Linked DNA regions of Xenopus tropicalis. The protein of the gene in region 2 purifies or fractionates together with the protein of the main gene of each other region. This does not show direct contact. Links are inferred from orthologs where the notes say so. Each region holds a gene or a part of one and is shown on either strand. Other genes may lie near its edges.

Region 1 (6,428 bases), on a different chromosome or scaffold from region 2:
TAGTTATTAAACTCACTATCAATGCAGGCTCTGCTACACTGCACTGTGTAGCAGCCAGTGTTTATTGATGTTCATTAAGGGCCCTTTATTTTCATTTCAGGTTTGCTGTCCCTTTCTGTAAAAGGAGCAGAAGTTGCATCTATGACTCTCAATGTCATCCAGAGTATTCCCAACCTAGACTGGCTTTCTGCCTGGATCAAAGCCTATGCATTTGTGCACACTGGAGACAACACCAGAGCTATCAATACTATCTGGTAATTGTTTAACTTGAAAAAAGCAGAATACAGAGTACAGACACAACTAGCAATATCCAAAATGGAGTGAAGAGGGGTGTAGTAACAGGAGAACCAAATAAAAAGTACTGTGTTTTGGGAGTTAGGCACCCTTCATCTGCCTGTCTGTCATCTATCTATCTATTTATCATTAGCTATCTTATTTTTTTTTTTTTAACAATGAGTTTTTCTTGAGAATATTTGAACAGTACATAACTATGTTTCTTTAATAGCAAAGTTGTACGATTTGACATTTGATTACCAATGCAATGCAAATATCTATCATCTATCTATCTATCTATCTATCTATCATCACTAACCTAATATATCTTATAAATATATATATATCTTTGCTTATAATCAATATTTTTCATTCATATGATAAATTAGGTTTCTGATATGTTTGTTGTTTTAGTTCTCTAGAAAAGAAATCTTTGCTAAGGGACAATGTAGATCTTCTGGGGACCTTGGCAGATTTGTATTTCCGTGTTGGTGACAATAAAAATGCCATTCTTAAGTTTGAGCAAGCCCAGATGCTGGATCCTTATCTCATAAAAGGTTTGTTTTTACAATGTGTGTGTGTGTTATCCTGACATAAAATTGACATTTATTATACATACTTAATTCTGGTAAATTTGGGATAAAATTAGGAATACTAGCAAACAGGAAGCTGATTGGCAACACTCAGTGACAGCTAACAACTGCACTGAAGATCCATTCTACAAGTGGGTAGAGGACATCTTTATTAATTAAGACAATGGACAAGGTGACTAATAAAGAAGGTTTAGGGTAATGCTGCATGGGAATATCTTTGTTGCCTGCAATGATGCATAGCAATGCAGTTATTAAGGGAACAAAACCATTCCAGTCCTTCCCCAAGCAACAACTTCCTGACAAGTAGTTACGGGCGATGTAATTGTTGACTGCCAGGTAGTAGCTCCAGAGGGACAAATCAGAGGCACAAACCTTTGCATCTAATATCATTTTACCCCTCCAAGGAATGGATATATATGGGTACTTGCTGGCCCGTGAAGGTCGACTGGAAGATGTGGAAAATCTTGGCTGCCGCTTGTTCAATATATCTGATCAGCATGCTGAGCCATGGGTGGTTTCTGGGTAAGTGTTATTTGTACACTGCTGCCAAAAAGTGGCTTGCGTGACTGATGTAGCTGACTCTCTGTAAAAAATTCTTTAGTATATTGTCACTATTTAGTATCTAGTAGCATGTAGTAGTGGTAAGCCTTAAACATCATGACTTTCTAAGTAATCTCTCTAAGTTGCTTTGGATTTACCACTACTACTAAGATATAAATCTGATTTATTCCTTCTAGGTGCCACAGCTTTTATACTAAGAGACACTCCAGAGCCCTGTATTTAGGTGCCAAGGCTATCCAGCTGAACAGCAATAGTGTTCAAGCCTTACTATTAAAGGGGGCAGCATTAAGAAACATGGGAAGGGTGCAGGAAGCAATAATTCATTTCCGAGAAGCAATTCGATTAGCACCTTGTCGGCTTGACTGCTGTGAAGGTGAGTAAGAAAATGGGTGGATCTCAGTTATTTGTTATTTATTAAAATAAATGCTTGTATTTGGTTGCTGGCAGGTGAGTTGGGATGTTAAATATACAGATCTATTAAACAATATAGAAGTGTTGCAGAAATGATATACAGTGGATATAAAAAGTCTACACACCCCTGGTAAAATGTCAGGTTCCTGTGCTGTACAAAAATGAGACAAAGATAAATAATTTCAGAACTTTTTCCACCTTTAATGTGACCTATAAACTGTACCACTCGATTGAAAAACAAACTGAAATCTTTTAGGTGGAGGGAAGAAAACCAAAAAAACTAAAATAATGTGGTTGCATAAGTGTGCACACCCTTAAACCAATACTTTGTTGAAGCCCCTTTTGATTTTATTACAGCACTCAGTCTTTTTGGGTATGAGTCTATCAGCATGGCACATTTTGACTTTGCAAGATTTGCCCACTCTTCTTTGCAGAAACGCTCCAAATCTGTCAGATTGCAAGGGCATCTCCTGTGCACAGCCCTCTTCAGATCAACCCACAGATTTTCAATCGGATTCAGGTCTGGGCTCTGGCTGGCCATTCCAAAACTTTAACCTTCTTCCGGTGAAGCCATTCCTTTGTTGATTTGGATGTATGCTTTGGGTCGTTGTCATGCTGAAAGATGTAGTTCCTTCTCATGTTCAGCTTTCTAGCAGAAGCCTGAAGGTTTTGTGCCAATATTGACTGGTATTTGGAACTGTTCATAATTCCCTCTATCTTAACTAAGGCCCCAGTTCCAGCTGAAGAAAAACAGCCCCAAAGCATTATGCTGCCACCACCATGCTTCACTGTGGGTATGGTGTTCTTTTGGTGATGTGCAGTATTGTTTTTGCGCCAAACATATTTTTTGGAATTATGGCCAAAAAGTTCAACCTTGGTTTCATCAGACCATAACACCTTTTCCCACATGCTTTTGGGAGACTTCAGATGTGTTTTTGCAAAATGTAGCCTGGCTTGGATGTTTTTCTTCGTAAGAAAAGGCTTTTGTCTTGCCACTCTACCCTATAGCCCAGACATATGAAGAATACGGGAGATTGTTGTCACATGTACCACACAGCCAGTACTTGCCAGATATTCCTGCAGCTCCTTTAATGTTGCTGTAGGCCTCTTGGTAGTCTCCCTGACCAGTTTTCTTCTCGTCTTTTCATCAATTTTGGAGGGACGTCCAGTTCTTGGGTAATGTCACTGTTGTGCCATATTTTCTCCACTTGATGAACACAGTCTTCACTGTGTTCCATGGTATATCTAATGCCTTGGAACAAATGTTTGTACCCTTCTCCTGACTGATATATTTTAACATTGAGATCCCTCTGATGATTTGGAAGCTGTGGGATGTGACCAAAAAAATGCCAGGAAAGACCAACTAGAGCAGCTGAACTTTATTTGTGGTTAATCAGAGGCACTTTAAATGATGGCAGGTGTATGCTGAATCCTATTTAACATGATTTTGAATGTGATTGCTTAATTCTGAAGACAGCTACATCCCCAGTTAGAAGAGGGTGTGCACACTTATGCAACCACATTATTTTAGTTTTTTTGTTTTTCTTCCCTCCATCTAAAAGATTTCAGTTTGTTTTTGAATTGAGTGGTAAAAGTTCTGAAATGATTTATCTTTGTCTCATTTTTGTACAGCACAGGAACCTGACATTTTACCAGGGGTGTGTAGACTTTTTATATCCACTGTATGCATATATACTAATCTCTGTTAAAGGTAAAAGGGCGTACAGAGCAAAAAGATGACTTAGCTTAATCACTCTTATCTCTACCCTGCAGTTTTAGCAGCTAACAGCTCATGATATAAATGCTGTCCGCAAGGAAATCTTTGGGTGTGCTAGTTTTGACCAATGGCATTCTTTGGGTGGGTTACTTTAAACGTATAGGCTTCGTATTAGTATTTTTGTGCATCTCATGTCATTTGCAAACATGTAAAAAAGTAGCCTATAAAAGCAGTGAGTTGCAAAGCCACATTTGAAGCCTTCTGTGATACATGTCATTCTGTGTGGTTGCATGCTTTCCAAGACTCTGTATTTTTGACTTATAATAAAGCAGCCATTTCTGCACAATACCTTATTATTTAAAGTTTCGATAAGTAAAATTACCAAAATGGCTTTACCATTTTGAAAGCGTAATATTTTTTTATTTGGATTTTTAAAATCAAGAAATTGCATATTACTGATGTAATATTTGTTGGGGAAGCTTAGGTTTGCTGAAAACAATACATCTGAGCAAGACTTATAATTATGATTTTATTGCAAAATGAGGAAGTATTACCAAAAAACCCTTTTAATATATGCATTCAATGTGCATTGGTGGATTTCTTGCATTTGTATAGTTCTCTTATTGCAATCCAGGCTAGTAAATCCTCTGCTTAGGTAAAAATCAAGTAACATTAATTGACTGTAATAAAAAATACCCAGATGACAAATGTTATGTTAAATAAAACCAAACTTGATTTCATCATTCAGGTTTTGCATTTCTCTTTTATATACAAATTTTGTATTTTGTTAGTATAATGTCCCTTTAAATGTTCTATTTCTGAGCAGCTGATCTTATCTTCCCAGGTCTCATTGAATGCTATTTGGCATCCAGCAGTGTGCGGGAAGCCATGGTGATGGCCAACAATGTCTACAAAACCCTTGGAGCCAACGCACAAACTCTAACTCTGCTGGCAACTGTGTGCCTGGAAGATCCTGTTACCCAAGAGAAAGCAAAAACATTGTTAGACAAAGCGCTCATTCAGAGACCGGATTATATAAAGGCTGTTGTGAAGAAAGCGGAGTTACTAAGTAAGTTCTTTAATGATGTAGTTAGGTGATATTTAGAATATCTTAATATGTGTGCTACTGGCCACAAAAAGACTCATTTACCTATGATGCAGCATTTTCCCCCAGAATTCTGTTGTCAAACCAGACATTGTGCCACAAATTGTGCATGATTTACTAGTGTAGATGCAAATTAATGGCATTAGGGCATGATTTACTAAACACAAGTTATTTGCATGTTTAGCTGAACTCCGGAAACCCTGGAAATAGCATCTTTAATGCAGGTGCTAATTTCAGGGCTCATGTGCAAGTGTAAGGCAAGTGTAAGGGATAGCTTTTAAGTGCTTTTTAAAGGAGAACTAAAGCATAACTAATGAAGTAGGCTAGAAACGTTGTGCATTAGGTTTTGGGCTTCTGTACCAGCCGAAGGCCCTTTAGCAGGGAAGATCTGAGCCTCCAAAGATGCCACAGTAGCCCCCCATCTTCTTTTCTGCTGATTCACTGCACATGCTCTGTGCTGCTGTCACTTACTGAGCTTAGGGACCGACGCACAATATACTGTCTATATAGAATATAAATGTCACAATACAGGCTGATTAGTAATTTATTCAGTTTCACATTACATGGCAGCTTAGTAACCAGTGCAATTTGCATCAGAATTTAATAATCAGCCCTTTAGCATCATCTTGTATGACAGGCCAGCCTCATTTTCTGCAGTAAGTTCAGTATATAAATTATGGCATTTCTAGCCAAATTAATTTTTAGGGTATGGTTGTTTAAGTGCAGTGTGTATGTAGCATGTTAAATGTGCTTAGTGTGAATGTATGGAGCATGTTAAATGTGCTGAAATGGTGATATTAAATCATGCATTAAATGTTGATTACTTCTCAGGTCGAGAGCAGAAGTATGAAGAGGGAATTGCCCTGCTGCGTAATACCCTTGCAAACCAGAGTGACTGCGTACTACATCGGATGCTAGGAGATTTTCTGGTGGCAGTTAATGAGTTTCAGGAAGCTATGGATCAGTACAGCATCGCCCTCAGGTAAATCTTTACAACCAAGCCCCCTCTTAATAAAATATTGTTATCAGATGCAGTATATATTGTGAAAGTACATTCTTGAAAAAGTGTTCAGACAGTCAGCAGTTAGCTTTGGCCCCTCTCGTGCATTTAGAATAATGAATGCACAAATTGGATTGGTTGCTACAGGTTTTTCTGATGTGAAGCCCATTGTTACATATGGTCAAGGATGCAAGTGTCTTCTTGCTTCTCCTATTTAGTGTTTCATTATTGTAACAACAAATTGCTCAGGTACGTGTTGCAATGAAATACTAAACAAGGGGGCAACCTATGTTCATCATCTAAAACAAGGTAAAACCATACAATTTGTTTTTTGGTCCTTAGTTTGGATCCAAATGACCAAAAATCCTTGGAGGGAATGCAGAAAATGGAGAAGGAAGAGAGCCCTACTGACGCCACTCAAGAAGAAGATGTTGATGACATGGAGGGGAGTGGAGAAGAGGGAGATCTAGAGGGCAGTGACAGTGAAGCTGCTCAGTGGGCAGATCAGGAGCCGTGGTTTGCAATGCAGTGAAGTTGGACTTAACCTTTTAAGTTGTTTCATGAATTCCTGTGCAGATTGGAAGATGCTAAATCTCTAGCAAAGCTTGGAGAGTTGCTGAAGGATTGATGAAATTGAGTTGAAACACAGTAACCTTTATGTGACTGCTGCTTGTTGTCCTTCATTGCACAGAACATTATAACCCTAGGCTTTTGCATAGTCTTTTAGGAGGAAGCAGTACTTCTTTCTGCACGTGCTCCTACCTCATA
Region 2 (5,975 bases):
TAAGATTAAGAATTGTAAGCTCTGTGGGGCAGGAGTCTAATTTCTTGAGTCTTTCATACTTGGCTTTTAATCTTTGATATAACTACTTTTTTTGTATTGACACCTGTTTTATTCTATGAATATATTGTTCTACTATACAGTGTAGCGCTATATAAAGAGATACATATATACAGAAAGCCAAATTCACTGGGGTGGTGCCAATTTGTTAGGTGCCTCAACTGAACCTAATCATTAAGCTGGGACCCCAGGCCAGCACCCCTTTCTAACTAGCTATGTTCCATTTTGTCATTTCTCAACCATATGGTGGGCAGTACCCATTGCCTTGGTATTTTTTACAGAAGAGGAGCCCCAGCCCCAGGGTCTAAGGTTAGGGATTTGATTTATTAGGGGGGCTGCCTACAAGAGTGGCAAAGTAACACTTTTAGTTTAAAATCCTTTTTTTTTTTTTTTTTTTAAGGCAATATTTGGAAGAAGACTTTATCCTACGTATTTTTTCCCAACTGGCCCTGGCACTTAAAGATTGCCACAAAAGAAGCGATGGTGGTCACACTGTGCTCCACCGAGACCTGAAACCTGCCAACATCTTCCTAGATGCCAAAAACAATGTGAAGCTCGGAGACTTTGGGTTGGCCAGAATACTGCATCATGACTCCAGTTTCGCCAAGACGTTTGTTGGCACACCATACTACATGTCTCCAGTAAGTATCTGGCTGTGATATTGTGCAGTTTGAATACGCTAGTGACTTGTATTGGGTTAGTATTCTAGGCTTACGGAACTGGAGTCTTTTCTTAGAAATCTGGAACTGTTCTCTTCAACACTGTTTTCCCTGAGTGTTGCAAACGCTTGCTCACTTGTAGCGGCATGGCTAGTTTGTCCAGTTTCCTCACTGCCCTTGAGTCTTGATGGCTGTATTGAGACATTTTCTTCTGTCTGGAAAGTACGTAAAGTTTGTTTATATCCAGTGCTGAAATATGGAGGTGGCTAGGTGGACTCTTCCCTTGCAACTGTGCAGTGCTAGCTTAAGGCCATCTTGGAAATTGTATCTCCGACAAGGTGCCTATGGCATCAGCTCGGGGTACAAGGTAGGCGATTTAAGTCACTTGGGGGTGCCTAACATTTTGGCACCCCCAGTGACTTTGCCTTTCCTTCTCCTTTAACTTTTTCTTTTAAATGGGGGTGGTGACAAAGATTGGAAGTACAAATAAACAATAGTGTGAGGCACAGCAGGATCCAAGACATTAAAGAGTAGAATTTAACAGATAAGGTTACAATGTAGTATTTACCACAGAAGGCTGATAACAGAGAATTGCATACAATACAAGGCAAAACTCTGAATGCATAGGCAAACAAGGTCTTTATGAGGTATTATGCTTCAGTGACACCCTGATACATGTCTAACCAAGGGGCCCAAATTTTTTATCACACATTTCGCAGGGTGTGTGTGTGTGTGTGTAAGTTTCTTTATGGTAGAAAATGCTTTCATTCAGATGGCTACAATGTCACTGACATTACCTGGATATAGCAGGGACTGATGTAAATGGAATAACTGTGTAATATGTGCTCCATCTGCCCTAATGGTTTAAGGGGATGCTAAAAAACTAAAGCTGAAGATGCAACATTGAAGTTCATTGAGATGAATATATCTGCTACAAAGCAATACCTGAAAAATTAGAGAAACACTGCTGCCAATTTTACAACAGTGGCAATTTTCTGTTTTATGTTTCAGGAACAAATGAACAGAATGTCCTATAACGAGAAATCTGATATCTGGTCGTTAGGATGCCTCCTGTATGAACTCTGTGCTCTCTCGTAAGTAAAATACTGTTTTATTTCAGTGTTAAATCTATGTGCATCTAGCAAAAGATGAAATAAACCTAAAATTGCCAATTTGCAGCCTGTTCATTTGGGGAACCCTGTTTTATTTTAGGCCACCTTTTACGGCTTACAATCAAAAGGAACTGGCAGAAAAGATCAGAGAAGGAAGGTTTAGGCGCATTCCTTATCGCTATTCAGAAGAGCTTAATCAAGTCATAACAAACATGCTCCATCTAAAGGTAGGCATTCCCTTTGTAATGTCATGCATTAGTAATTGGCGCTAAACGAGGCAGTGATATAATTTGTGATTGTGTATAAACGCTTCATAAATGCTTAAGTGTCAGGTTTAAAGGAACAGTAACACCAAAAAGTGTTTTTAAAGTACTAAAAATACAATATACTATTGGCCCTGCACTGGTACAGCTGGGGTGTTTGCTACAGAAACCCTACTATAGTTTATATAAATACCCTGCTGTGTAGCCCCGGGGGCAGCCATTCCTGCACTGGTACAGCTGGGGTGTTTGCTACAGAAACCCTACTATAGTTTATATAAATACCTTGCTGTGTAGCCCCGGGGGCAGCCATTCCTGCACTGGTACAGCTGGGGTGTTTGCTACAGAAACCCTACTATAGTTTATATAAATACCCCACTGTGTAGCCCCGGGGGCAGCCGTTCCTGCACTGGTACAGCTGGGGTGTTTGCTACAGAAACCCTACTATAGTTTATATAAATACCCCGCTGTGTAGCCACGGGGGAAGCCATTCCTGCACTGGTACAGCTGGGGTGTTTGCTACAGAAACCCTACTATAGTTTATATAAATACCCCGCTGTGTAGCCCCGGGGGCAGCCATTTAAGGGCTCTGGTACACGGGGAGATTAGTCGCCCGCGGCAAAACTCCCTGTTCGCGGGCGACTAATCTCCCCGAGTTGCCTTCTCCTGCCATCCCACCGGCGACAATGTAAGTCGCCGGTGGGATGGCACACACGGCGGCGCAATTTCGCGCAAATCACTGAAAAAGCCTCGCAAGTCTTTTTCGGCGATGTCCCGAATTCGCGCCGCCGCGTGTGCCATCCCACCGGCGACTTACATTGTCGCCGGTGGGATGGCAGGTGAAGGCAACTCGGGGAGATTAGTCGCCCGCGAACAGGGAGTTTTGTCGCGGGCGACTAATCTCCCCGTGTGCCAGAGCCCTAAGCTTGAGAAAAGGCACAGTTTACGTAGCAGATAACCGATAATACCTCATTATATTCTACAGTGCTTATCTGATATCTACTAAGTAACCTGTGCCTTTTTTTTTTTTTTCTCTAGCTTGAATGGCTGTTTACTAAAGTTTAAAGAGATACTGAAACTTGAAATATAATAGATGTAAAACATGCAAAGACAGTGTTGCAATAATTTTTACATTATCTGATTCCCCATTTTCCCCTACTATACTATACTTTATGCAGCAGTAGGCCATAAGTATTAGAAATTCCGACCAGCTGAAAGGGGGACAGGTTGGCAAAATACTCAGGTTTAGGAACATCAAATAACAGTTACAAAAGCAGCCCTATCGGTATAGAACTATTGGCATGACCTATAGGGATCTTTTAATGGAGTAGGTTTTGTTTTTTCTTTTCTTTGTAGCTGCTACTAGTAGCTATGTGTGTCTTCACCCTAATGTTTACTCACATGCTTGTTCTGTTGTCCTTGTGTGTTAGGATTATTTAAGGCCTTCTATAGAGGAGATACTGCAGCATCACTTATTAGCAGAGTTGGTCAGGGAAGAGCAAAAGAAAACTGAAAAGAAAGTTTTGAGAGCTGCAGAGCAGGAAAGGCTATCGATGCCAGACCCTGTCCCCTCAGAACTCCGGTTAAAGGAACAGCAACTGCACACAAGAGAGCGAGCCTTAAGAGAAAGGGAAGAGCGCCTAGAGCGTAAGTGTAAAAATGTGTTTTATGTTAAGAATATTTGCACATACGACTCTATTTGGCAGCACTAACCATAAAATGTATCTAATTCTCTAGAAAGAGAACGAGAGCTGTGTGTGCGTGAAAGGATGGCAGAAGATAAACTTGCCAGGTAAGCTGTATTCTAAGCTCTTAGCTCAGTGGTACAGGTACATACTCCTCTTAGATTAGTTCTGTCCACTTATTACAAGTAGTAGTGCCATTATTACTTATGTAGCATGTTCAAGACCTGGATTTTTATTTTTATATATATATTGGCTAGTGCATATTCCCAATATCTGTAAATTAATCAGGAACTATACTTACCTGTATGTATTTGACACATTTTCTTATACTTTATCGACAGGGCTGAAACCTTGGTGAAGAGCTTTAACTTGATGAAGGAACAGCACCTGTTTCAAGCTGCTCTAGAGAATGGCAAAGGTATGAGAGCCAACAGAAAGCCTTTGGAGCCTCGGAATGAATGGAGCAAATTCTGATACATTCTATGTTTTAGTGTTTGGGTTATTCCCTGCATGTTGGCTAAGCTCCTGTAAGAGTATATGCAGGGCTCCTCAAGTTGCAATGATGCACTTTATTTGTTGTCTTTGTCTCCCTTTTTTTTTTTTTTTTTTTAAATGTGAAATAAATTTATTTGGCTGGGTTTTTATTTGCCCTATATTTAGGGTACTGGGAGCCTCTCTTTCTCTCCTGCTGGTAAGGCTGCTCCCACCTGTATAGAATTCTTTCTCACTATGTCTATTTGCTTTCCTTGTCCTAGTGTGGTCTTCCTTTATCCTGTGCCTATGACTGCTAGAACTTTAAAATGGCCCCTATGGCCTGCTATCCGAGAGGCATCAACATCCCAATATATTAGATATTATGTAATGTTCAAATAATAAGAGTTTTTAAAGTCACTCTAAAAGACTGGGCTTTGGAGAAGGAGTGTTGATGCACAGGTCCCTATAACAAACGTAAAAACTTGTCCTACATGTTCTACAGTTTGGCTTTGTTAATATTTTGTGTTGAAAACTGCTTCCTGGCCCACATCGGTTTTCCTAATTCTGTTATGGGATTCTAGTTATTTGAATAGAAAAAAAAAATAAAACTTTAAGTACAGCAGGAGCAAAAATGCTATTTTATTGTTAAATCCTAGTTTAGTTTTGTGTCCTGCCTCTTATTTTTATCTTTACTTGTTTTAATAACAATAATATGCAGGTATTAAACCTGTTATCTGGAAACCCTGTGTCCGGAATGTGCCAAATTTCCATTTTCTCAAATGTAATAAAACAGTACTCATGCTTAATCCCAGCTAAGATCTAATTCATCTTTATTGGAGGCAAAACAGTCCTAATGGGTTTAAATGATTTGTTTTTTAATAGACTTAAGGCATGGTGATTCATATAACAGAAAGACCCCTTCTCTTGGAAAATATAGATAAAAAAAAAATACCTAAAAGAGTATACTATATGATGCTGCTGGGACACATTACTGTGCTATAAACATACATCATAAAGTAAATAGACTTTTCCAACCCAAACTTGTTAAACATCACTTTGTCTTAGCAAAATTGCTTTCTAGGTATTCTGGCTGCTTACTATAACAGACATTTTTGTTATAAATAAGGGCACTGTTACAGTTGTGCTAGTATTCTCTAGGTCTCCATCCATACCAACACGCTTGGTCATTTACCTAGTTGCTCCACTGCTACCAAAGACTTAACACAGCCTCTACCTACATCTATAGGTGCATAGAAATAAATAATTTGTATGTATGGACAAAGTCATAAATGCCAAACCAGGCAGGGGGTTTTCTATACACCTGACTAGTGTATCAGTCAGGTATGATAAAGGCACATTTATCTGTTGAGTCAAAGTTGCTAATCTAATTCCATGTATATTCCAGACGCCTACGTGGATAGTTCCTCTACCCGGAGCAGACGCCATGTTCATTTTGGCAGCAACAGTAAAGAGAATAGCAGTACAGATCGCTACCGGGAGCAAGAGAAGTGCAGTGACTTGCAGAAACGGCTGCAGGCTGCTAACATTCGTGCCAAAGCTCTGTCTGAGCTGGAAAGGAATTATCAGCTGAAGAGCCGGCAGATCCTGGGCATGCGTTGACTCTTGCGCAACTATGGAACTCATACAAAATAGCAAAAAACTGTTCTGTTCTCAAAAATTGCTGTTATTGCTCAATTCTTCCCTATAAGCAGATAGCACCTTTTTCTC
Region 3 (6,428 bases), on a different chromosome or scaffold from region 2:
TATCCACATCGCCCCCATAATGACCACATCTTTGCCATTAAAGTTGCTGAAATAAAAATGTCATTGTTTCCTTTGGCTAATAATTCTGTTTATTCTAAAATACTATATTGGGAAGTAGAAGTCCGGGCACCCTGACTTGTTTTGGCGATTCCAGCGGACAGTCAAGCCTGTGCTTTGTAGGTCTTGCTACATGGTTTTTTATGGGCTTGTTCAAATATTTACTGGAGTTGTATGCCAACGTTATGCATATAGTGTTCTAGCTTTGAGAAATTCCATTACAAAATTGTTTGCTAGGTTTAACAGTTTGCACCTTGTGTCGTAGGCAGTTGGCAAGTATAGGGCTCCCAATATTGTTGGAGCCAGTGGCACCATTTGCACCTGTAGCATGGGTAAGGGGTGTGCACATAGATGTCCATGGGCCGCATATGTGCTCCTCATACATTGGTGCCATTCACTATACAATGCAAATCTTTGAACTGATTGGCACCTATATTTGGACCTTTGCTCCTTACCTTTGTTTAAAGGTGAAGGATGCCTAGAAATCAATTGGGGGTTCTAAGTTCTTAGGAACCCGCTGATGGGACTCTTGTTGGTTACCTAAAATCACTAGCATGGGGTATGCCGAACGCCACGCATCTATCTTTTTATTGCCTCCCTGTTATCTGCCCTTGATGAGAGCCTGTGCAAATATTTTTTCATTTCTGTAATGTGAAAATGTGCTCCTAGAATCTGCACAAACACACTGGTGATTTTATGTCCTATAGAAAATGAGCCCTTTTAACTTTCACATTTTCTAATTCAGCAGAGCACTTGTTTAACACAATTTTCCCTTTTCTTGGCAGTACTGGCATTTGGTCTTGCTGATACAAAGAAAGTTGTTTTGTGTGATGTAGAGAAACCTGAAAGTCTCCATTCCTTCTCACTGGAAACACCAATATCATGTATGCAGTGGATGGAAGTAAAGGTGGAAAACAGGCAAGTCCTGAAATTGGGCACTGTATGCAAATCATGCTGCATAGTTAACCAATCCGAAAAAGGAAAGTTCACTGAAATATTAACTTTTAGGATTTATTGACAGAAGAAATACAAGAAATTTTGTATCTGATCTTAAGTTTCAAATTATTTGCCTCCCTGTTGCTCTCCAAACTCCCAGCGATCATTGCATCCAGAAATCAGATTGTGAGGAAGATTTGTTTGTGTGCGTTTTTGTTAGTCTTTTCCGTAGCAACCAAATAACATTTTAAATGCCTAACTAAAGAGGTGCTGGACAAATAAAAAGTGAAATAAAAAAAATGTCAATAGTTTTAATTGCATCATTATAGGATGTGTATACCCCCTTGTAAAACATTAGTTCAGTTTGTGCAGAACGTACTTTTTGCCCCATTGTTTTAATCATAGAAAAATCTGACTCAAATATTGTTGCTCAGCGGTGTACCACAATTTCAGAACACTCACTGACATTTTTTTTCATGGTTTAAATCTTATGTTATTTATTTGTTTTTCAGATGAGACTATAGGGCTGGAGCGTGTATTTGTATACGGGGTGCCCCTAATGCTATTTTCTCTTTTTCATTCAGTGTATTGACTTCGTTTTACAATGCTGAAGATGAATCTAATGTTCTGCTGCCCAAATTACCTGCACTGCCCAAAAAGTAATTATTTGCTAAGCATATTATTACGGTTACAGTATGTTCTTAACTCTTACATGAATGCTTTTTTTTCTGTTTCTAACTCATGTGTTTTGATTCAATGATTTAAATGGACTCAAACCTCACTGTCAATGTCTGGTTTACAAACAGATGCTCCATTTCTTAATTAATTACTCCCTAACATATTATTGGCATTAAAAATGCCAATTGGCTTCTTGGGTCAGTGACCCTGGCCACCCAAAAATGTATATCTTGATGATTTAGGCCTTCTAATATTCATGGTCTTGTGTGTCCGCTGGCTTGATTCTTGGGTCAGTATCCCCTGCAACTAATTAGCAGTTTAACTCTTTAAATGCTAGCCAGTTTGTCCCGCAAGAAGGTTTGCAAGTCGACAGGCAACTCACAGTGACATATAGAAGAAGCTGTAACATGTTTAACAAAAAAACACAAGGATCACTGTTCTTATCATGCTAACCTCTTTACAATTTGGGTAGATTAACACCCCTTTAAATATTGTGTCATCTTTGCAGCTAACAAACACCCCTAAATTGTTATACTACTAAAAATGATTTTCTCTTTCTTTAGTTATACTGCCACAGCAAAAATCTTCAGGTAAGTTGTTCTCTTATATTTTTACCTTTTTTATTGTTCACATAAACATTTCTTACAATTTATATGTATTTTATGTATATTTTATATTCCAGTGAAGAAAAGTCTGATGAAATATTAAAGCTATTAGGAGATGTGAGGTAAGAAAGGATACTGTTTGAGGCAAACGTGTATAATTTGCGCTGACAACAAAAAGTTGACACTTAATAGGGTAAAAAACTCCCTCTTATATTGTTGCTGTTATGTAACTAGGTAATATTATCCTTATATATGGCTGGAATACACAAGAGTCATGAATAACCTTTTAAAATAATTTAAATTGATTTCACTTCACTTGTCACATGACTCATTGTAACTTGTGTCTTATAAAGAGAAAAAATGATATACTACTGCGGAAAAATGTATAAAGCCACTTTGAAGTTCCATTGCCAAATTAAAATCCTTCAACTTTGAGCCTTTATATAGTGACTACATCCTTATAATACACAAGAGCCATGAATATCCTGTAAATTATACCATTGTGTATACCAGTGTTTAGTGACAATATCAGTCATAATGGGTGCTTAGTGATGTCATTTGACTCACTGAAACTTATGTATTATAATAATGTATCCTGCTTGTAACATATGAGGATATTAGACATCACTCTGCCTTTGGCCTTCTGCTTTTATATGGTCATGAAACGCATCAGTGACTTATAATAACTTTATATTTTATAGTCACTTATTATTACTAACATTTGCACACTTCTGCTCCTTCAGACTTAATGCTTTGGTTCTTGGAGGAGACTCAGGACAAATTGAAATATATGCCTATGGAATGTACAAAATTGCAACAATTTCAGAGGTAATAAATATAAATTACTTAAACGCACCAATCACATTATAGAGTGGTATGAAACTGGTATTTAGGTTAATAAGTTCCTACCTCTAAGGGTAAGAACCCACAGATCGGTTCAGTCGCCCGCCCATAGATCTCTGCTATGGCAGCAACAATTGGAGTCACCGGGGAAAAGCCCTTCGCATCCCTTAATTTTCTCGAAGTTGCCTGCAGGAGGAAACTTTACACGGCTTTGGATTACCGCAGCGATGTGAAGGGCTTTCCATCGGTGACTTCTATTGTTGCTGGTGGAAAGCCTTTTCAGAACAGTTTGTCGCATGCTGCTATAGCAGAGATCTATTGCGGGCGACGAAACCACTCCGTGGGTTCTTACCCCAAATCTTAGTTGTATATAGATTTGCCATCTCATGTTTATGTAGTGAGGTAAAAAACAATACCAAAAATACCAAAAAAGTCCTCAGCGCTAGCAAATAATAAAGTGTCCAGTCTTTACTTGAATCGTGTAACAAAATTAGATGTGTAAAAGTTTTCTTTACTGCAGCTCCGTCTTAAAACAACCCCTTTGACTGGGTTCCGAAGTAAACTCAACGAAATAAACAGATCCGGAGCGCATAGAATGGGGGAAAAAAGAAAAACAATAATAGTGTAGTAACGTTTAAATATTGTGACAGTATTAAACCCCGTTTAAAGTTCCCAGTGTTCAATAAATTAATATTAACACCAAGTGTGGTACTGCTAACTGCTCACCAGATGGCAGTGTTGTTGAAGTAAAATAAACGTCATGTGTTCATTGCAGACTTGTAGCTGTTTGAACGGATATTGTATCCCTGGGATGTGTCTCAATTGTATCGATGTATCCTCCACGTCTGATTATCCTTATGTGCACTGTGGCTATATCCTCATTGAGGCATACAAAAAGGAAAAAACCGCCACTAGTGCAATATGATTTATTATAAAACAATATATAAAGAATAAAACTTACAGTATGTAGTCAGATATAGGAACTCAATAGCCCGAAAAGCCCAACGCGTTTCGTGCACTGCTCGGTGCACTTCCTCAGGAGCAAGAATCAAGTCAAGTCAAGTCAAGACTTGATTCTTGCTCCTGAGGAAGTGCACCGAGCAGTGCACGAAACGCGTTGGGCTTTTCGGGCTATTGAGTTCCTATATCTGACTACATACTGTAAGTTTTATTCTTTATATATTGTTTTATAATAAATCATATTGCACTAGTGGCGGTTTTTTCCTTTTTGTATGCCTCAATGAGGATATAGCCACAGTGCACATAAGGATAATCAGACGTGGAGGATACATCGATACAATTGAGACACATCCCAGGGATACAATATCCGTTCAAACAGCTACAAGTCTGCAATGAACACATGACGTTTATTTTACTTCAACAACACTGCCATCTGGTGAGCAGTTAGCAGTACCACACTTGGTGTTAATATTAATTTATTGAACACTGGGAACTTTAAACGGGGTTTAATACTGTCACAATATTTAAACGTTACTACACTATTATTGTTTTTCTTTTTTCCCCCATTCTATGCGCTCCGGATCTGTTTATTTCGTTGAGTCATCTCATGTTTATGCATGTACTTTTAGCCAACATACTAATCAAGCCACATTTGGTTATAAAAGATTTCAGGGACAACTATGGGGCATGGACATTCTCTGTCAATTCTACTGCCCTTCTAGCCCTATACATTACGTAATTTCTAGCCTACTTCATATGTTACTTTAGTTGCATGTTAAGCAGAATCCTACATTCATATTCATTGAGGTATAACTAGAATTATGTTACATAATACAAAATATCTGCTTTTTCTACAGGTCTATGGATCTTGCCTGGGACTTTGCCTGTCTAATGATCTCAAGTCTCTCTCTGTTGTCACTGAACTGACAACAAATAGTATGCCTGAAATTACCTATTTTCAGGTCTGTGTCTACCTGGTTATGTGTAAACCAATAGTTTTTTTTGAGACCCTGATTTTTATGTCCAGCCTTGTTGTTTGTTTCTATAGCTGGACACCAGTTTGTTATCAGATTGCTTACCTGAAGTGACTCGGATGGCCAGAAAATTTACCCACATCTCAACACTCCTTCAGGTAAAATGGGTATCAGATTTGTTGAGATCTTACAGTTCTCACTTTTTTCACCGGTTCATAGCACATTCCCTCTGTCGCATTGTAATTTTCCTCTGTTGTTTTCCAGTATTTGCAGTTGTCTCTGACATGTATGTGTGAAGCTTGGGAAGAAATACTGATGCAGATGGATTCACGATTAACAAAGTTTGTACAGGTGGGTATAGGAAGATTCTTAGAAATCAAAATCTCAAATCTCAAATTTGTTTATCAGTTCTGATTGAGTACATAACTGTGTAGGTATAACCTGGTAAGGTACAGGGAGACTAGTAAAATGCAGGTGTCTATTCAAAAAGCCAGAGGCATGTTCAGCTGTAAACTTGGCAGCTGAAGATGGTAAGTTTTTGGAAGCTCAATTTAAAGGGCACAATAAAATGTTTTTTGTTTTATTTGTCTTAATTTGGATCCATGTAAGTGCTTTTTGAGCTGAAGATCAGGAAGTGTGCTGAAACTTCCTTTTGCACTCCTGTTCTGTCCAAAAAAAGTTGATCCCAGTTCTGATTGAAATATAAAGAGGTGAGTGCATAGATATTTTACACTTGCTCTGTTTTTCTCAATAAGTAGGCTACTGGCCATGCATACATCTCCATAGTCTTTGTTTTCCTCCCATAGCCCTCTTATTTTGTCTGCTGGGCCATTTTTTACAAAAGTGTTGAACCCCTGGCCACTCAAACGAGTGTCAGTCCTGTTAAATTCATGACAAACACCTGCTAGTGAATTATTTTTGCAAATATGGTTGATTTACCTAGCTGTAGGTATAGTACTATGCAGATAAACAACCATGAAGGAAAGTATAAAGTCAATTTCCACAGCAAACAGATGATATGCGTAACAACAATCCCAGTGAGTTGCTTCTTTCTGTTGTTTCAGGAAAAAAACACAACTACGTCTGTGCAGGATGAATTCATGCAGTTACTCCTGTGGGGCAAAGCAAGGTATCTGTTTTAATTTCTCATTTTCCTTGAAAGACTGTCAATATGCATTATTAGTTTTATATCCGACCCAGGCTATATCTGCTAATATCTCTTATGTTTGGGATGGTGGGGACAGTTATCCATTATACTCACTTACAGTCACTTACATGTTGCGGGATATTTGTTTGTGTGTAGAATCCTCACATATATATATAATACAGCATATTTTCTTTTTTATGATCTAGCCCTGAACTCCAAGCACTTCTA

What was found. The genes of interacting proteins can lie anywhere in the genome.
Region 1: the proteins of serine/threonine-protein kinase Nek2 (region 2) and anapc7 purify together in Homo sapiens (affinity purification with mass spectrometry; 3 studies listed by BioGRID and IntAct, with this or other methods). This does not show direct contact. The link is inferred for Xenopus tropicalis from reciprocal best matches to the Homo sapiens genes NEK2 and ANAPC7.
Region 3: the proteins of serine/threonine-protein kinase Nek2 (region 2) and anapc4 purify together in Homo sapiens (affinity purification with mass spectrometry; 6 studies listed by BioGRID and IntAct, with this or other methods). This does not show direct contact. The link is inferred for Xenopus tropicalis from reciprocal best matches to the Homo sapiens genes NEK2 and ANAPC4.

Annotation. Positions count from the first base shown.
Region 1 is NC_030677.2:162,758,739-162,765,166, reverse strand, and holds part of anapc7 (anaphase-promoting complex subunit 7), read left to right. Parts: intron 1-100; coding exon 101-254; intron 255-687; coding exon 688-830; intron 831-1,270; coding exon 1,271-1,388; intron 1,389-1,603; coding exon 1,604-1,800; intron 1,801-4,399; coding exon 4,400-4,624; intron 4,625-5,491; coding exon 5,492-5,642; intron 5,643-6,002; coding exon 6,003-6,192; 3' UTR 6,193-6,428. UniProt on the Homo sapiens protein: Component of the anaphase promoting complex/cyclosome (APC/C), a cell cycle-regulated E3 ubiquitin ligase that controls progression through mitosis and the G1 phase of the cell cycle.
Region 2 is NC_030681.2:14,883,617-14,889,591, forward strand, and holds part of serine/threonine-protein kinase Nek2, read left to right. Parts: intron 1-457; coding exon 458-698; intron 699-1,727; coding exon 1,728-1,810; intron 1,811-1,928; coding exon 1,929-2,055; intron 2,056-3,518; coding exon 3,519-3,735; intron 3,736-3,825; coding exon 3,826-3,880; intron 3,881-4,114; coding exon 4,115-4,191; intron 4,192-5,652; coding exon 5,653-5,867; 3' UTR 5,868-5,975. UniProt on the Homo sapiens protein: Protein kinase which is involved in the control of centrosome separation and bipolar spindle formation in mitotic cells and chromatin condensation in meiotic cells.
Region 3 is NC_030677.2:31,789,261-31,795,688, reverse strand, and holds part of anapc4 (anaphase-promoting complex subunit 4), read left to right. Parts: intron 1-842; coding exon 843-975; intron 976-1,577; coding exon 1,578-1,652; intron 1,653-2,234; coding exon 2,235-2,261; intron 2,262-2,353; coding exon 2,354-2,398; intron 2,399-3,019; coding exon 3,020-3,104; intron 3,105-4,936; coding exon 4,937-5,041; intron 5,042-5,127; coding exon 5,128-5,211; intron 5,212-5,317; coding exon 5,318-5,404; intron 5,405-6,117; coding exon 6,118-6,182; intron 6,183-6,406; coding exon 6,407-6,428. UniProt on the Homo sapiens protein: Component of the anaphase promoting complex/cyclosome (APC/C), a cell cycle-regulated E3 ubiquitin ligase that controls progression through mitosis and the G1 phase of the cell cycle.